Sus scrofa: one gene and its partner. The protein of the gene in region 1 interacts with the protein of each later gene in a biochemical or structural test. Links are inferred from orthologs where the notes say so. Each region holds a gene or a part of one and is shown on either strand. Other genes may lie near its edges.

Region 1 (7,834 bases):
GGTGTGTCTGCCTGTTGGTTAGGCTTCTACTACCGATTCCGAAATCTTCTGGGAAACAGACCTTTTGTGGAAGTTGAAGATTTTGGAAGCAGGGCTTTATCATGTGAGACCACAGGGCAGCTGATCTCTGCAAAGTTTTCTGATGTGAATTGCAGCTCTGTTCCATTCACTTTGCTGGTGAAGGCGCAGCTCTCCTGGCAGTACTTCTGGTGCCAGGTTCAAGCATATGATGAAGCTCCACATAAATCATCACTTTACAACACTGTCTCCATTGTGCTTCTTGATTCTTCGTGGCGAGTTTCCACCAAGCCTTTTCGGGTGACATGATGACTTGGCTGCCAGCCACACGAGAGGTCCCCTAGGAGTTTGGGAGGGCTGAGCTTGCTACAGCAATCCTCTCTGGTTCCCCCAGCAGGTTCACAACTATATGATTCCGCCCCACGACCGAGGATGGAGGGAGTTCGTCCCTGATCAGCCACACCCGGAGATCCCATACCAGTGTCCTGTGACCTTTGGACCCCGCAGCCACCACTGGCAAGGCCCGGCCTGTGAAAATGGTAAGGAGGCCCTGGGGTAGCTGCTGTGGCCAGAGGGCCTGCCCCCACCACCCCGCCCCATCCGTTCTCTGCAGCCCCAGGGCTCGCCCTCTTCCAAGCTGCTGGGAGAGGAGAGGTCCCCAGGCAAGGACACGGAGGACCTGACGCCTGGCCTGCTCTGTGCCCGGCCCTGGGCTCGGTGCGCCTTGTGGCTCTAATTCAGGCAGCACAGGGATCACTCCAGGCCCCCAGAACTGCCCTGTGTTGCATAGGGGAGAGCTCGCAGCATGCAGGCAGCATGCCCACAGTGACCCAGCAAGAGTGACCAGGTCCCCTAACCCCGAGCCCAGCCACACACGACAGGGGACGCTGGATTTCCCAGTGGCTAGCTGTGTACTTTACGTCATCTGCTTAGTAAGTTAACATGCTTCTTCCTCCCTGAATAATCTTAAACTTTATTTTTAATCTTGGGCAAAAAGTAGTCAATTTTGGCAGACTTCCCAGAGAAGATGGGCTCGTCCCTTAATGCTGACTGTTTCTGTCTACACATCTGCGAGCTCGGGATCCTGCAGCTGTGCCCAAGCCCTCCCTCTGTAGGGACACCAGGAGTTTACTGTGCTAGTGTATTTCTCTTAAACAATGTGTGCCCATGTTGCCAAGATCAGAGGCGATGGTGAGAAGGGAGTGAAGAAATACCATAAAGAAAACACGAGAAGTCTCCACAGGGGGCCTGCTTAGTGTTGGAGCTGATTGGGTTACATGTGGTCAACTGGAGGCCTTCCTCAACCCCAGGATGAGAGCTCGCAGCAGAAGCACAAGTTTGCTGAGTGCAGAGACAAGTTCACATGGTATATTCAGTACAGCAAAGCAGAAGTTTTTAGGGCTCTTGAGTCAGTTTTTAAGCGAAATCCTGAGACCAGTCAACACACAGATGCTTTTGTCTGTTCTAGGAATATTTGCTCCTTTTTCTAGTCATGTCCAGGTCACTCTTGGCTTGTGGTATTGAGCAAGCAAACAATTACTTAAGATTTGTGTTGAGTGGCATGTTTGTTAAAAAAGCTCAGAATTGGGTTTTATTAGCTTTTCAACAGTCATGTGCAGTAAAGGTTGGTTTTCCATATTGTGGTGCAGGAATCAGCTAATGTTGCAGGGGTTTCTGGAGTTCAGACCTGTTTCCAGTGCACCAGCTCCATTGAACTCATCACCTCATAAAGAGGCAGTGCCTGGAACTGTGAGAAGATAGACCAGATGGGCACAAGGGGCTTTAGTCATATGCCAGCAAAACGAGGTTCTGTCCCATACTTTCTCTAGTGATGTTTAACGCAACGCACAGCTATCGTGCTGGCATGACTTTTGGTTCAGTTTTCTCCTGAGCCCAGAAGTAGCAGCTAAGTAAACTGGAACCAAACAGTGTGTAAGTTCTTGACTGGGCTCTTTGGTGTCGGATCGGATTGGAGAGAGACCCGGGCTCACAGCGCTGCTGTGAACTTGCTGTGTGGATGGGGCAAATCACCCCATTTCTCTGAGCCTCCGTTACCCTGTTATCAGTTACGCAGGAATGTTCGTCCCAGGGGACAAACTTCCAATTATGAGACGAATGCATCCTGGGGTGCGACAGACACAGCCTGGAGACCGCAGATAACGACGGTCTGTCATGTTCAAAGTGCAGGTAGAGTAGATTTTAGGTGTTCTCTGATTTTAAAGGTACCTTTCGCACAGGTAATCGTGGGAGGGGATGGAGGTGCTAACAAAAAAGGAAGAAGGCAGGAAAGCAAGCAGGAAGAAGGCAGGTCGGAAGAAGGCAGGAAGGAAATTACAGACGGAGACTCTAAGTTTCCTTCCGGCTGGGAAAAGGCTTCTTCCTCCTTGGATCTCGGGCTGCCCCTCCCGTCGGTGCATCCGGGGCTGACCGGCCCCACCTCAGGGAGAGGCCACCCCCCTCTGCGTTGGACTCTGTTTAGATGGCGTCTGATTTTTGTTTGCAAACGCAGGTTGCCAGGTGACAGGAACCTTTTATGCTTGTGCCCCGCCTGAGTCCCAGGCCCCCGGAATCCCCATAGAGCCAAGCATAAGGTCTGCCGAAGCCTTGGCCCTCTCAGGTGAGTGGGGCTCCCAGGAGGCGGCGTCCAGAGGCTCCCCTCACCTCGGGTAGATTCCAGGGGGTGGCTGAGCACAGCTGGGGCCTGGGGCGGGTGGGAACCTCTGACTCCTGACTATGTGAGTGAGGTTAGAAAAGTTAGCCACCAGAGGCCGGCTCCTGATCCTGATCCGCTTCTCCAGGCTGTCTGAAATGAGTCTTTTAAAGCTCCCCATTGACGCCTAACTTTCCAGGAATGTGCAGACACCCCGGATTCATTTGCTGGGTCCCCTCTTCAGCCAGAACCCCCACAGCTTAGTGCAGTTTCTCAGGACCAAGCACAGGAGTGCCTCGTTTTGAAACGCTCCGCACGCTTCCAGGTTTAGCTGCAAACAGGTGGCCCCTCAGCTTCCCGGGCACCCAGTTCTGGGTCCTCTCTCTCATCACGTTCGAAGGCCAAGGGACAAGCACCCTGTCTTCCTCTGAACGTGAAATGTCTTGCAAACAAAGGTGGATTAGATGTGGCTTTTAAAGTCTCATCTCTGAAAGAACCCCTGCATCTTAGCAACCCCCGCCCGGTGTAAGGAAGGCAGCTCAGGCTTTACTGAGCATATGTGATGTATGTACATTTATTGTTTTTAGATAATGTTTTGATTGTTTTAAAATGGGGTTTGTACTTGTATTAAAAATGAACAGCTTAAGCTTCAGAATTCTCACCTCACACACTGGTCTCTTTGAAAATCAGTGACAGAAACTATAAAGTGAATTCTCAGGGTTTCAGGAAACAAGGGTTTGGCTCTGAGGCTCTGCAAGGGTGCTGCCTTTCTTCTCAGGGGCTCCTGGGTGATGGAGGCTGGGAAGGGCTCTAAGCAGAAAGGCCCGTGTTTGTTTTTAGAAACTTTCAATCCTTTTCTTGAGCACCTCACACTTGTGTGGGTGCCTGAAGAGTAGGAAATAAACGGCTATTTATATCCCATGACCGCGTGATTTCTGATGACGCTCAATGAAATGAACCTCAAATGGCCAACACCCACTCCTCGGGGCTCACGGCAGCCGGCGTTGCAGAAGAGGCTGGAGGCAGCGATGTGGGTCGAGTCTCAAGACCTGTGTTGAGGAATAAGAGGCTTCTGTGGCTTTCTCTGAGTGCACGGGACAGATTAATTACTTGCCCGTTTATCAGAGGCCTGCCATCCGCTCAAGTTTGAACTCCACGCGGTTAGGATGGAGCTGCTGCCTCTCGGGAAGCCCTTTGGGGTTCAGGTCAGGGGCCCTTGGCAACCTTGGCTTGGTCCTTTTAGTCTGTGAATCCGATTTTAAAGAAGGCTCTGAAATCAGCAAACTTCCAAAAAGAATCCATCCTGTTTGGTGTTTGAGAAAGCCCCATTGCAGGGCCTTTCTCCGACTCCGACGCAAAGCCAAGCGGGTCTCAGCAGACCTTAGGTTCAGAACGTTTGCCTCACGAGGTAATCTTAGTACATAAGCTGCACATGTGCAGCGGAGAAAGAATTTAAAGATCAGAAAAGCAAAAATGGAGAATAAAAAGCCACAGTCCCACCACCCAGAGATCAACCACCGTCAAGACTTACCCTTCCGCACACTTAAATGTGTACCGGCATATGTATAATGGTTTTTTAGCTAAATGGCATCATATTGATATTTTAGGGTAGTTTCAGGTGTGTGGACATAGTTTTGTTTTTTTCTGAAACACCACTGTACGCTTTTGCAAGTAGAAATCATTTAAACATAGCTTCTTCCAAAACCAAAATTGTTTGCTGTGCTTGAAGTGCATTTCTGTTCAGTGGCTTGTGAATCGGTGTGTTAAGACACTAAGCGTGGGCCACCCCCGTGCTCCCCACCCCGCCCCCCAACCGTGTCCGGTACATCCGGACAATGCCAGTAGGGAACATTGCCCAGACTTGTGCACGGCTTCTCCAGCATCGGGTGAGTTTCCAGGAGGGACGAGAGGCCTTGCAGTGTCTTCCGAGGGTCCTGCCAAGTATGCTTTATTCCGGTCGGGAGTGTGGCATCCTAGCAGGTGTGCAGTGCCCCATGGCTCCTTAGCACTGACCCCAAAAGCTCTGTGTTTGCAGACTGCCGGCTCCACATCTGCCTGTACTACCGGGAAATCCTGGTGAAAGAGCTGACCACGTCCAGCCCCGAAGGCTGCCGGATCTCCCATGGCCACACCTACGATGCCAGCAGCCTGGACCAGGTCGTTTTTCCCTACCCAGAGGACAGCGGCCAGAGGAAGAACATTGAGAAGCTGCTGAGCCATCTGGAAAGGGGCGTGGTCCTCTGGATGGCCCCCGATGGGCTTTATGCCAAGAGACTTTGCCAGAGCAGGATCTACTGGGACGGGCCCCTGGCGCTGTGCAGTGACCGGCCCAACAAGCTGGAGAGAGAGCAGACCTGCAAGCTGTTTGACACACAGCAGTTCTTATCAGGTAAGGCAGCCAGCTTCTGTCAGAATGGCGGGAGTGGAGCTGCGGATGGCGCTCCGGCCACGGGGTCAGAAGCAGCAGGCCAGTTGCTCCTGGTCTTCCTTCTGTGTAACCTGGAGCCCCCAGGCATGATCCTGGAATGGGTTTCCTGTCTGCTCACCTGTCACCCCATCACAGAGGAGTAGGAAGAGGAGGGGTAGTGAGGGGGCTGAGGTTCAGGCCGAGGTCTTGAAATTCTGGTGTTGACCCACTGCTCACCAACTAATCAGGTTCACGTTTTTATTGCCTCTGTGATTTGCTGATGTTTCAGCGCTTTTAAGGTTCCTAGACAAATCGTAAGGTTGGCAGTGCATTGTTGGCACTCTTGGTTATGAGATGTGTCATTCTCAGGTAGAGGCCTTTCAGCAGGTGGGACCGGGGTGAGTGCAGTGAACTGATTTTGCAGAGGGGAAATCGTGAGACGGTGCTGAGTTGTCTCTAGGTTTCAAATCACATTTTCCGGGACCCGTCGGTTTTGTTTCCCCAGTTCTGATTTCATGGCAGTTCGACTAGCTCTGGGCCACTCTCTTGAGACCCCTGCCCCCTTTTTGTGGAGGCCTCACCAAGCGTCCCTGAGCCGTCGGTGTTCACGAGGCTTTCTGGAGGGAGGCGGTTCTGCCTGCCCACTGGCACCCCTCCCTGACGATCTTATCCGCAGCCCCGCTTCGGAAGCACCCTTTGGGCTCTCGGTGCCTCTCCAGTCCCTGAAGTGCTTTGTGCCCTGCTTTGTGTAAACCAAACACGGCACCCCTGCTGCACCGCCAGAGACACAGGCTCAGCCTTGGGGTTTGGGGGTTCAGTGTCTGGACTCTCTGCGCTCACCTGGATTCTCTTTTGCCGCCCAAGCAAACACATCCCCCGACCATGAACCCCCCCACAGAGGCCAGACGAGGCGGGGATGCCGAGTCTCTGGTCCCCCCTCCTTGGTCTGAAGCCTCCCCCACCCAGAGTGGCAGCACTGCCTCCATGTGGGTTTTCCGTTGGTCCTGGGGTCCAGGGGTCCAGCGTGTGGATGCAGTGAGGCCTGCGAAGGAGCCGAGAGCCGCAGCTCTGGTGTCTGGGGTCCCACAGAACCCTGGGGGGGGTCTCCTCCGAGGTTGCGGACCTTGGGGTGGGAAGATGCCGCGGGACAGGGATGTTCACTACGGTTCCCACAAGGGCAGCCTTGCCCTCCGGGTTCTGTCCCCGGCCTGCCTTGGGGATTGACCCTCATCCGACCTCGGCGGCCCCTGCAAGACGGGCAAGAGGCCTCCGGCCATGCGCTCACTCCCTAGGTGTCTGCGCCCAGGGCTTTCGGGCTTTTCCCTTCCTCTGACCCCGGGCTGTGCCCTTACTTCAGGGCAGCCTCTTATCTAAAGCATGTGCTGAGGTTCAAGGAGGAACCCAGGAACCCAAGTGCAGACCAGCAGGCATCTTGGCGCGAGTTTCAGGGAACCGCGCCAGCCTGCCGCTGGGAGCAGCCTCCCACCTCATGGTGTGGGGGCCTTGCACATGTTCTGACGAAGTTAGGTTAGATTTGAATTCTGGAAGAAAAAAGAAGCAGGAAGTCAAATGGTCCAGTGAGTTAGCTAGAAACTTCACTTCAGTTGAAGAGAACAGTGGAAATCTTTGATATCTACCCCTTCAGGGCCTGCAGAGTCCTGGGGACAGCCCCGCACGCAGCCCGAGGCAGCCGCAGCTCTGCAGACGTGGCAGCAGCTGTGTGAGCGCCTTTCTTCTGAGGACGTGACGTTTGACTCTAGAAGAAGCGGCTGGAGGCCCCCTCCAGCCTGAGTGTGTCGAGAGGGCAGGGGCCCGCTGGGTGAACGCGGGGATCCCCCAGCACATCTTGGGGTGGCAGAGGTGGCTTCAGGCACATGTCCACCAAAGTGGGGCCCAGGGTTTCATCGCCACCTCTCACCTCCAGTGCCAGAAGGCACACCGTCTGGGATGCAGCTCGGTCTCCAAGACAACATGAGGCACTTTCTGTGGTGCCTGAGTCACGTGGAGATCCCGGGGAGCCCAGATACTGGGTTAGAAGGCTCAGCAGTTTTGAGAAGAGATTTTTAAGTAAACCTGGGTCCAATCAGAAAATTCTGTTTTTTTTTAAAAAAAGATGTCTCTTGGGTGTAAATTATTCTTTTGGCTCAACGTGGCTGCGTTTCGCTCTCTTCCTCTTTGACCCCTTGCTGCCACCTTTGCTTCTTCATGGGTCCAGGGCTGCAAAGCCAGGCTCTCCGTCTCAGGGTGAATTTCCCTGAGGGGAAGGCTGCAGCCCTCGGGAGAGACGCTGTGAACACGGGTGTGTGCCCTTCCCTGGAGGCCCACCTCACCCCCGGTCTAGTCCCGCATCCTCGCAGGCGCCCTGCTCTAGCCCGCGTCCAGGGCAAGGGTTTCTGAGCGGCTCCTCTCACGGTCTCTGCAGAGCTCCAGGCATTTGCTCACCACGGCCGGCCCCTGCCAAGGTTCCAGGTGACTCTGTGCTTCGGGGAAGAGTTTCCGGACCCCCAGAGGCAACGGAAGCTCATCACTGCTCACGTGAGTGTCTTCTTGCCTCCAGTGGTTGAGGCTTCCTGACTGTCCTCGAGGGCAAGGCCCCATTCAGAGAAGTTTAGACGAGAATTAAGTGTCCGGGCACTGGGGTGCAGAGGGACACAGGGAGGGAGGGTGTGCAGTGAGGGGTGCACAGGCACAGCCCAGAGACCGAATGCCTCCAGCCCCCAGTGTCCACTTATTAAGCAGAGGGTGACCTCCAGCCATGG
Region 2 (7,127 bases), on another chromosome or scaffold:
GTCAGATCGGTGAGTCCCTGCCCCGGGCGGCCTGAGCAACTGTACCTCCTGTTGCATACCCTGTACCTCCACCCATACCCTCTCCGTCTTCTTGGCCAGGTTGATCATTGGCTTCATCAGCAAACAGTATGTCACTAGCCTTCTCCTCAATGAACCTGATGGAACCTTCCTCCTTCGCTTCAGTGACTCAGAGATTGGGGGCATCACCATTGCCCACGTTATCAGAGGCCAGGATGGTGAGGTCACCCCAGCCAATCTGCTGCCTCTATCCCTAGGCCCTCTGGGATTTCTTCTGGGAAGGAAATGTCTTGGCCTTCCTTGTTGCCAACCCTGATCTTCGGGAAGATCTTTCTTAGGTCCAACTTCTCTTCTGCCTTCTGTGGGCTAAACTTCTGCCTGCTCACTGTGAGCTCTGTGGCAATGGAGACTGGTGGGTCTCCCTTGCTCAGGACCCTCACCGTAGCTCCTCTCCTCTTTATCTTGGTGGAATGAGGATAAGTCCAAGGGTGTGGTGGGGTTGGCAGGGTAAGAGGAAGAAAGTCTGGACAGAGGGGACTCAGGGCCTCATTTCTGTTGTAGGATCCCCACAGATAGAGAACATCCAGCCGTTCTCTGCCAAAGACCTGTCCATTCGCTCACTGGGGGACCGAATCCGGGACCTTGCTCAGCTCAAAAACCTCTACCCCAAGAAACCCAAGGATGAGGCTTTCCGGAGCCACTACAAACGTGAGCTGGGCCCGAAGTTCTGATTCCTTCCTGTTGTCCACCTCCTTCCTGCTCCCAGCTGCCCCCTCCCTGCCCACTGTGTGTCATTCCTGTCTTCTCTCTCCATCCTCGTCACCCTGTGTCTCCTACCTGCCTCTCAGCCATGCCCACCTTTTCCACCTCCCTAACCCGGAAGCACTCCAAGGCTCTCCTTTCCTCCCCACAACAGCTGAGCAGATGGGTAAGGATGGCAGGGGATATGTCCCAGCTACGATCAAGATGACTGTGGAAAGGTGAGTGTGTTGATGTGGGTGGAGGGTTGGGGGGGCCTGGGACTTACTGGTAGGAAGGGGTGGTGGCATCGACCCCTGGTCAGTCACCCACGTCTTCTCCCCTCCTCCAGGGACCAGCCTCTTCCCACCCCAGAACCCCAAATGCCCACCATGGTGCCCACTTATGATCTTGGAATGGCCCCTGACACCTCCATGAACATGCAGCTCAGCCCAGATATGGTGTAAGAAGCTTGAGCGATGGAAACAGGAGGGATCCGTGCAGGCGGGCCCTTGGCATGGGCAGCCAGAGAGCTGGCAAAGGGGGGGCTGAAGTGGGGCATTTTCCTTTTCTTGAAAGGAATTCCCCATCTTGAGGCAGGGGTGGGGGTGTCCAGGAGAAGGGCTGGCATCAGGGGTCTGCTTTCTTTTCCCCAGGTCCCAGATGTATCCACCACACTCTCACTCCATCCCCTCATATCCAGCCATCCCCCGGGAAGAATCGGTCAGTGTGTTGTCAGCCTTCCAGGAGTAAGTGGGGGCACCTCTGGGGGATGGGGTGGGACACCCCCCTGCATTGGGGGTGGGCAATTGCGTTTGTTGGGAGAGGCTTTTCTGTGAGAAAGGGGTGGCAAACCCCTAGCACTTTGGTCTCTTCTGTCCACTCCACTGGGGTGTTAGTGGTTAAGATCCAGGTTGGAATTCTGACTTTGGGCAAGTTACTTAACTCTGGAGCCTCATTTGTAGAATGGGGAAAAATGCTGATACCTTCCTCAGAGGATTATTGTGAAGGGTGAGTTAATAATATGTGTAAAGCTATGCATAGTACCTGGCTCCTAGCAAGAGCCATTTAAGTACTAATATTATCTGATCTGCCCTTGAAATTGACTGTCATGTATCTGCTGTCTTGATTTTTATTTATTCCTCTTTTTGGCCCTGTAGTGGTGTAGATATTTTTGTTCTCCAGGTAGCACTCACATTCTTAGTAACTCTCAGTCAAGGCAGGACATCTCCTCTCCCAGGAGTTGCAGTGGGGGTGGGGACTGGGGGGACTTAGAACCACCAGAGTTCAGAGTTTGGAAATCAGCTAATCTAGGGAGTTCCCGTTGTGGCTCAGTGGTAATGAACCTGACTAGTATCCATGAGGATGCGGGTTTGATTCCTGGCCTCTATTCAGTGGGTTAAGGATCCGGCATTGCCAATGACTGGTCATTGCATACGTGCCTTGAATCCTGTGTGGCTGTGACTGTGGTGTAGGCTGGCAGCTGCAGCTCTGATTCAGTCCCTAGCCTGGGAACTTCCATATGCCAGGGTACGGCCCTAAAAAAAAAAAAGGAAAAAATTAGCCTAGCTAATCTAGCTCTCCTCTCCCCCTGCCCCCAGTCCCTACATTTACTTATACAAGTGAGAAGACCAAGCGCACAGGTAGAAATGGCTTACCCAAAGCTATGCCGTCAGGATAAGGAGCAGGAAATTCTGTTCCTCACTCAGTGGTCTTGACTTTGCAACACCCTGCTCTTGCCCACCTCTTCCTTTCTCTGACTGTGCCCTCCTTCCTGCTTCCAGACCTCACCTGCAGATGCCCCCTAACCTGAGCCAGATGGGCCTGCCCTTTGACCAACCTCACCCACAGTGAGTGACAAACCACCCCTCCCCCATTCTGATCTCAAGCTCCCCATTGATTCCCAGCCTCGAAGCCACCCCCCCCACCTCATTTACTTTTCTGGGCCTGGGCAGGGGCCTACTGCCATGCCAGCCTCAGGAGCATGCTGTGTCCAGCCCTGAGCCCCTGCTCTGCCCAGATGTGACCATGGCAGAAGAGAGTTGCCTGAGCCAGCCAGTGGGAGGGTTCCCTCAAGGCACCTGGTGAGTATTGGCCTCGGGGTGGAGGCTGGGTGGGGGCTGAGGAATGGGTGCCATGCCTATCCCACTGCTTCTCCCTTTCTCCCTGCAGGGTTGGTGAAGACATGTTCCCACCCTTGCTGCCTCCCACTGAACAGGACCTCACTAAGCTTCTCTTGGAGGGGCAAGGGGAGTCAGGGGGAGGGTCCCTGGGAGCCCAGCCCCTCCTGCAGCCCTCCCTCTATGGGCAGTCTGGGATCTCCATGTCCCATCTGGACCTAAGGGCTAACCCCAGTTGGTGATCCCAGCTGGAAGGGGAACCCAGAGAGACAGCTCTCCTGCCCCCTCGGACCTGCTCTGGACACTTGCCCATGCTCCTGCCAAGCAGCGGATGGGGCGGGTGTCCTCTTGTCCCCACCTACATCCTGGCCAAGAGCAAAGGACTTTGCCAGGAGAACGCACAGTGGGTGGAACCTCTCAGCTCCTTCCCTCCCACCACACACCCTTGCCCTCCCCCTTCCAAATGCTGGAAGGGTAATTCAGGTTCCAAGTGAGACCAGCCCCAGCATGCCTGTACACGCGGAAAACACACATACGGCCCTCCCTGGAGGATGGGGCTGAGCAGGAAGAGGGCTGGGCAGGAGCACAGATGAGGGCACAGAGGGCTTCTCCACCTGCCTGGAGCCAGGGCTCAGGACTCACACATGTAGAAACATGTGGACATGTGCACACATCTGCACCAGATGCCAGGGGTGGAGGTATAGGCTTGGGTCCCAGCCCCCGGGGAGATGGGGAAGCAGTTCAGGAGACACTGGGTAGGAGGAGGGAGGGTCTGTACATTTGGTTACTGATATGGGTTTTGCCTGGATTAAAAGATGAATCCTGAACAGCTCCAAATTTGTCAGTCAGATGGAGGCTTCTGGACATGTGCATGAGATTATGCAGAAGTACAAAGGCTGAGTTTGTGTGTATAGCTGTGCAAAAGTATGTGTACTTGAGACATGTTACTATATAGATGTCACACACGTTAGCTGTACAGCCACATAGAACATGTACCTCTCTGATTTTGCCTGTGTGACAACACACGTTTGAAAGTGTGAGACACTGCACAAAAGATACCAGCAAGCATGCTGGCCTCTCTGGTGTATGCGAACCCAAATGCACTCACTCATCTTTGAGAACTGTGCCCAGAGGGGTCTTCGTGGCTGTGACATCTGCATATGGCTGTAGTTTTGGTGGCTCATCACCACCAGTCCTGCCCAGAGGCAGGGGGTAGAGAGTCTGGGGTCCAGACTCAAGTGTGTGGTCCTTTGGGTGTATCGGGGGCCCTACCCACTGCTTCTTTTCTATTTCCCCAGCCACCGCCAGCTTCCCTCCACTCCCCTGCCCCATGCCACCCTTTCTCCATCTTGGGGGTCATAGATCCTAAGCCATAAAATAAATTTTATTCCAAAATAACAAAATAAATAATCTACTGTACACGATCTGAAAAGAAAGATGCTCTAACTGCTCAGACAGGTGCTGCGGCCCAGCCCCCAGCTAAGGGAGACCCTGAGTCCACCCAAGCCTCCTGAGGGGGCTGGTGAAGGGGACCCCATGCCCCCCTAGAGAGGGCAGGAGGGAGAGAACCGCTGAGGACTTGGGAGAAGGATGGGGATGGGTAGGCAAACTGCAGCACTTGTTAAATTAAAGAAACAAACTAGAAGCACAAAAATGGGGGAATGGAGGGAGGATCAGGTCCAGTGTTCCCAGGCCCCCAGTTCTGGGGGGGAAATGTTTCCACTTTTAGTTGCTGGACCCTCCCAGGATAGTCCCCCTTTCCCCCATGTCCAAACCGAGTCCAACTGCTCACACCACTGGTTCAAACTAGAGAATGGGAGTGTGCTGTGTAAGGAAGGGGAGAACCCCAAGTGCCCTGGAGGCAGAGTCCTTGCCCCTTGCTCTGGGCAACGGTGAGGGGGGCACCACGCACCCTCCTTGTGTCCTCTCGCCAGGCCCCTGCTCGTTATTGCTTGAAGCCCCATAGTTCTATGCCCATGGGGCCGGTGGGGAGGCAGGAGAAGGGCAGCGGAAGGATCCAGGGCTGTGACTAGGTGCCAGGGACGCGGAGTCGAGGGGTTGTGTGACCCGGGAGCCCAGGCCCCGCGGTCTGAGGACAGCAGTCCCGCCCTCACTGCCGGCTGGCCTCAGCCTCCACTTTGACGCTGCTCCTCCGACCTTCCACCAGAGCGGGATGGGGTCCCGGCGCAGGGCATCGGTCTACCAGCCCCTCCTCGAACTCTGCGGGGAGAAGGGGTCAGTTAGGAGGCTGCGAGGTGAACGCTGTAGACAGAGGTGGTTGAGAACAAAGGCAGGTGTAGAGAAGGCTGTAAAGTTGAGCTCGGATTTACAGCCCTCAGCCCACCTCGCGCGCGCGCGGGTGAGTGCATGTATGTGGGGGGGGGGGTTTCTATAGCCAAGTGTGTGCACCCCTTCCCCTTCTTAGCAGTGTGTAGCTCTCGGTCTTTGTAAGTGTCTCTCTCTTTCTCGGTCTCTCCCGCCTCCGTTCTGCTGGAATTTCTGGTTCTGTCAGGAGCTGCGGGGGCGGGTTGGCTGTGACCTCTCCCCCTCCCCCCTTCCCAGGCTCTGCCGCCCCCACTCATCCCTGGCCTCCTCCCAGGCCCTGCCTACCCTACCATGCACGCCCCCCCCCCCCAGTTTCTTAGAAGCCAAATCAAGGGGATCACAGGAAGCCAACCTCCCAGCTCCTCCCCCAAGAAGAGCCCCTCTTTCAGTCCCCGCCCCCACTTCCCACCCACACACAGTTTAAAAATACCAAGCCAGGGTTGGTGGCTTTGTCTGCTGCGTCACTCTCAGCCCAGCCGCTGCCCGGCCCTCTGCTGGCCTACTCCCTCACTCCCCCTTCCCCCATCCACGCACCAAGCATACCCCTTTGGGCTCGTCCAATTCTAAGCTGGCAACCTCACCCCTACTCCTAGAATGCTCCACCCTCCTGTGTTGGTAAAAGTTCTATCCAAGCTTCTCTTCTTGATGACCCTCCTTTTCCTGCTCCCCAGTTCCCCCTTCAGAGATGCCCATTAGGGTCAGACCCTCCCTATTGGGAACAGCCCTCCAAGGGCTCCCCTCTCCTCAACCCAAGGCCTGGTTGGCTGGAGCTCCACCATCCTTATTGCCCTCTCTGGTGACTACATCCCTCTTCCTCCCACCTGGCCCCAGGACACCAGGATTGCTGTGTGTGTTGGGGGAGAGCCTGGGTGGCAGGGGTGGTTGGGGACAGCACTGCTGGCTGCCTCACCTGCGAGAGGCGGCTTCGCAGGCACACAGGGGCTGAGGCGGCCCACGCGGTCATGGGAGACGAGGCGGGCTAGCCGCAGCCCCTCATCCATCAGTGTCTGCTGCAGGATGTGGCGGCTCCACAGCCCATGGGCTGGCAATGCCAGAGGCAGGTCAGCAGGGGGCGGCGTCAGCCTTGGGCATGACCCCACAGCTGTGGGCATGGGCACGGGTCAGGTAAGGGACCACAGTCCACGGAACCCCCACCCTCAACTGCAAAGCCAGACCCATAGGCCCAGGCCCATTTGCCCCCATCCCGCCAGGCCTCCCAACCATGTTCCAGGGAGTTGCCTCCTGGCGCCCTCCTCCCAAGCTTTCTACCCCTGCGCTCCCCCCTCCCCAGTGGCCAGAGAAGTGTTCCGAGGCACACTCACCCTGCAAGTGTCCATCCAGGCTCTCCCCGGACAGGCTGGCACTGTCTTCCTCCAGGCTGGGGCGGTATGGGGGTGCATAGGACTCAGGGCCTGAGGGAGGCTGCTGGATTTCAGAGTGACTTTGCTCACCAACCTGTAGAGGCCCCAAATGGGGAAATGAAAACCTGGCAAGGGAGGGGACCAGGGAAGGCTGCCCTAACCCCCTATATGCACCCTGGAAAACCTACCTCTTGTTTCAGTTTCTTCAGTGGGGGGCCTCCCAATTCTTCGGGGTGAAGCCTTCAAAGATGGAGAGGAACAAGGAGAGTGAGGCTGGGGAAGGACAAGTGGTGGACAAGACACAGAATCTGGGGGGGGAAGAACACGCATTATTTCCAGAGTATGAAAAGATGCTGGCTAAGCAAGTCTCCAGCTCAGGCACCATTGTTGGGGGGGGGGGGGCAGTGGGGGGGCACAGTGGAGGCCTGCAATGGATGGGAGAAGGGGCCAGACCTCAGATAAGTGGACTTGGCCAAAGTCAAGGACACACAGATGGGGGAGAAGCAGTCCAAGAGGCACCTGAAGTAGAGATTAAGACATGACCCAGCTCCTTGGAAGGATTCTG

Evidence for each region.
Region 2: the proteins of IRF4 (region 1) and STAT6 form a complex in vitro, tested with the Homo sapiens proteins (2 studies listed by BioGRID). The link is inferred for Sus scrofa from reciprocal best matches to the Homo sapiens genes IRF4 and STAT6.

Annotation. Positions count from the first base shown.
Region 1 is NC_010449.5:137,115-144,948, forward strand, and holds part of IRF4 (interferon regulatory factor 4), read left to right. Parts: intron 1-412; coding exon 413-557; intron 558-2,527; coding exon 2,528-2,635; intron 2,636-4,703; coding exon 4,704-5,057; intron 5,058-7,497; coding exon 7,498-7,610; intron 7,611-7,834. UniProt on the Homo sapiens protein: Transcriptional activator. Binds to the interferon-stimulated response element (ISRE) of the MHC class I promoter. Binds the immunoglobulin lambda light chain enhancer, together with PU.1.
Region 2 is NC_010447.5:22,403,537-22,410,663, reverse strand, and holds the end of STAT6 (signal transducer and activator of transcription 6), read left to right. Parts: coding exon 1-9; intron 10-99; coding exon 100-236; intron 237-579; coding exon 580-726; intron 727-934; coding exon 935-998; intron 999-1,108; coding exon 1,109-1,219; intron 1,220-1,412; coding exon 1,413-1,505; intron 1,506-2,540; coding exon 2,541-2,606; intron 2,607-2,711; coding exon 2,712-2,840; intron 2,841-2,928; coding exon 2,929-3,118; 3' UTR 3,119-4,300; downstream 4,301-7,127. Other genes in the region: NAB2 (NGFI-A-binding protein 2), read right to left, coding at 4,987-5,096, 6,112-6,303, 6,524-6,656, 6,751-6,802. UniProt on the Homo sapiens protein: Carries out a dual function: signal transduction and activation of transcription. Involved in IL4/interleukin-4- and IL3/interleukin-3-mediated signaling.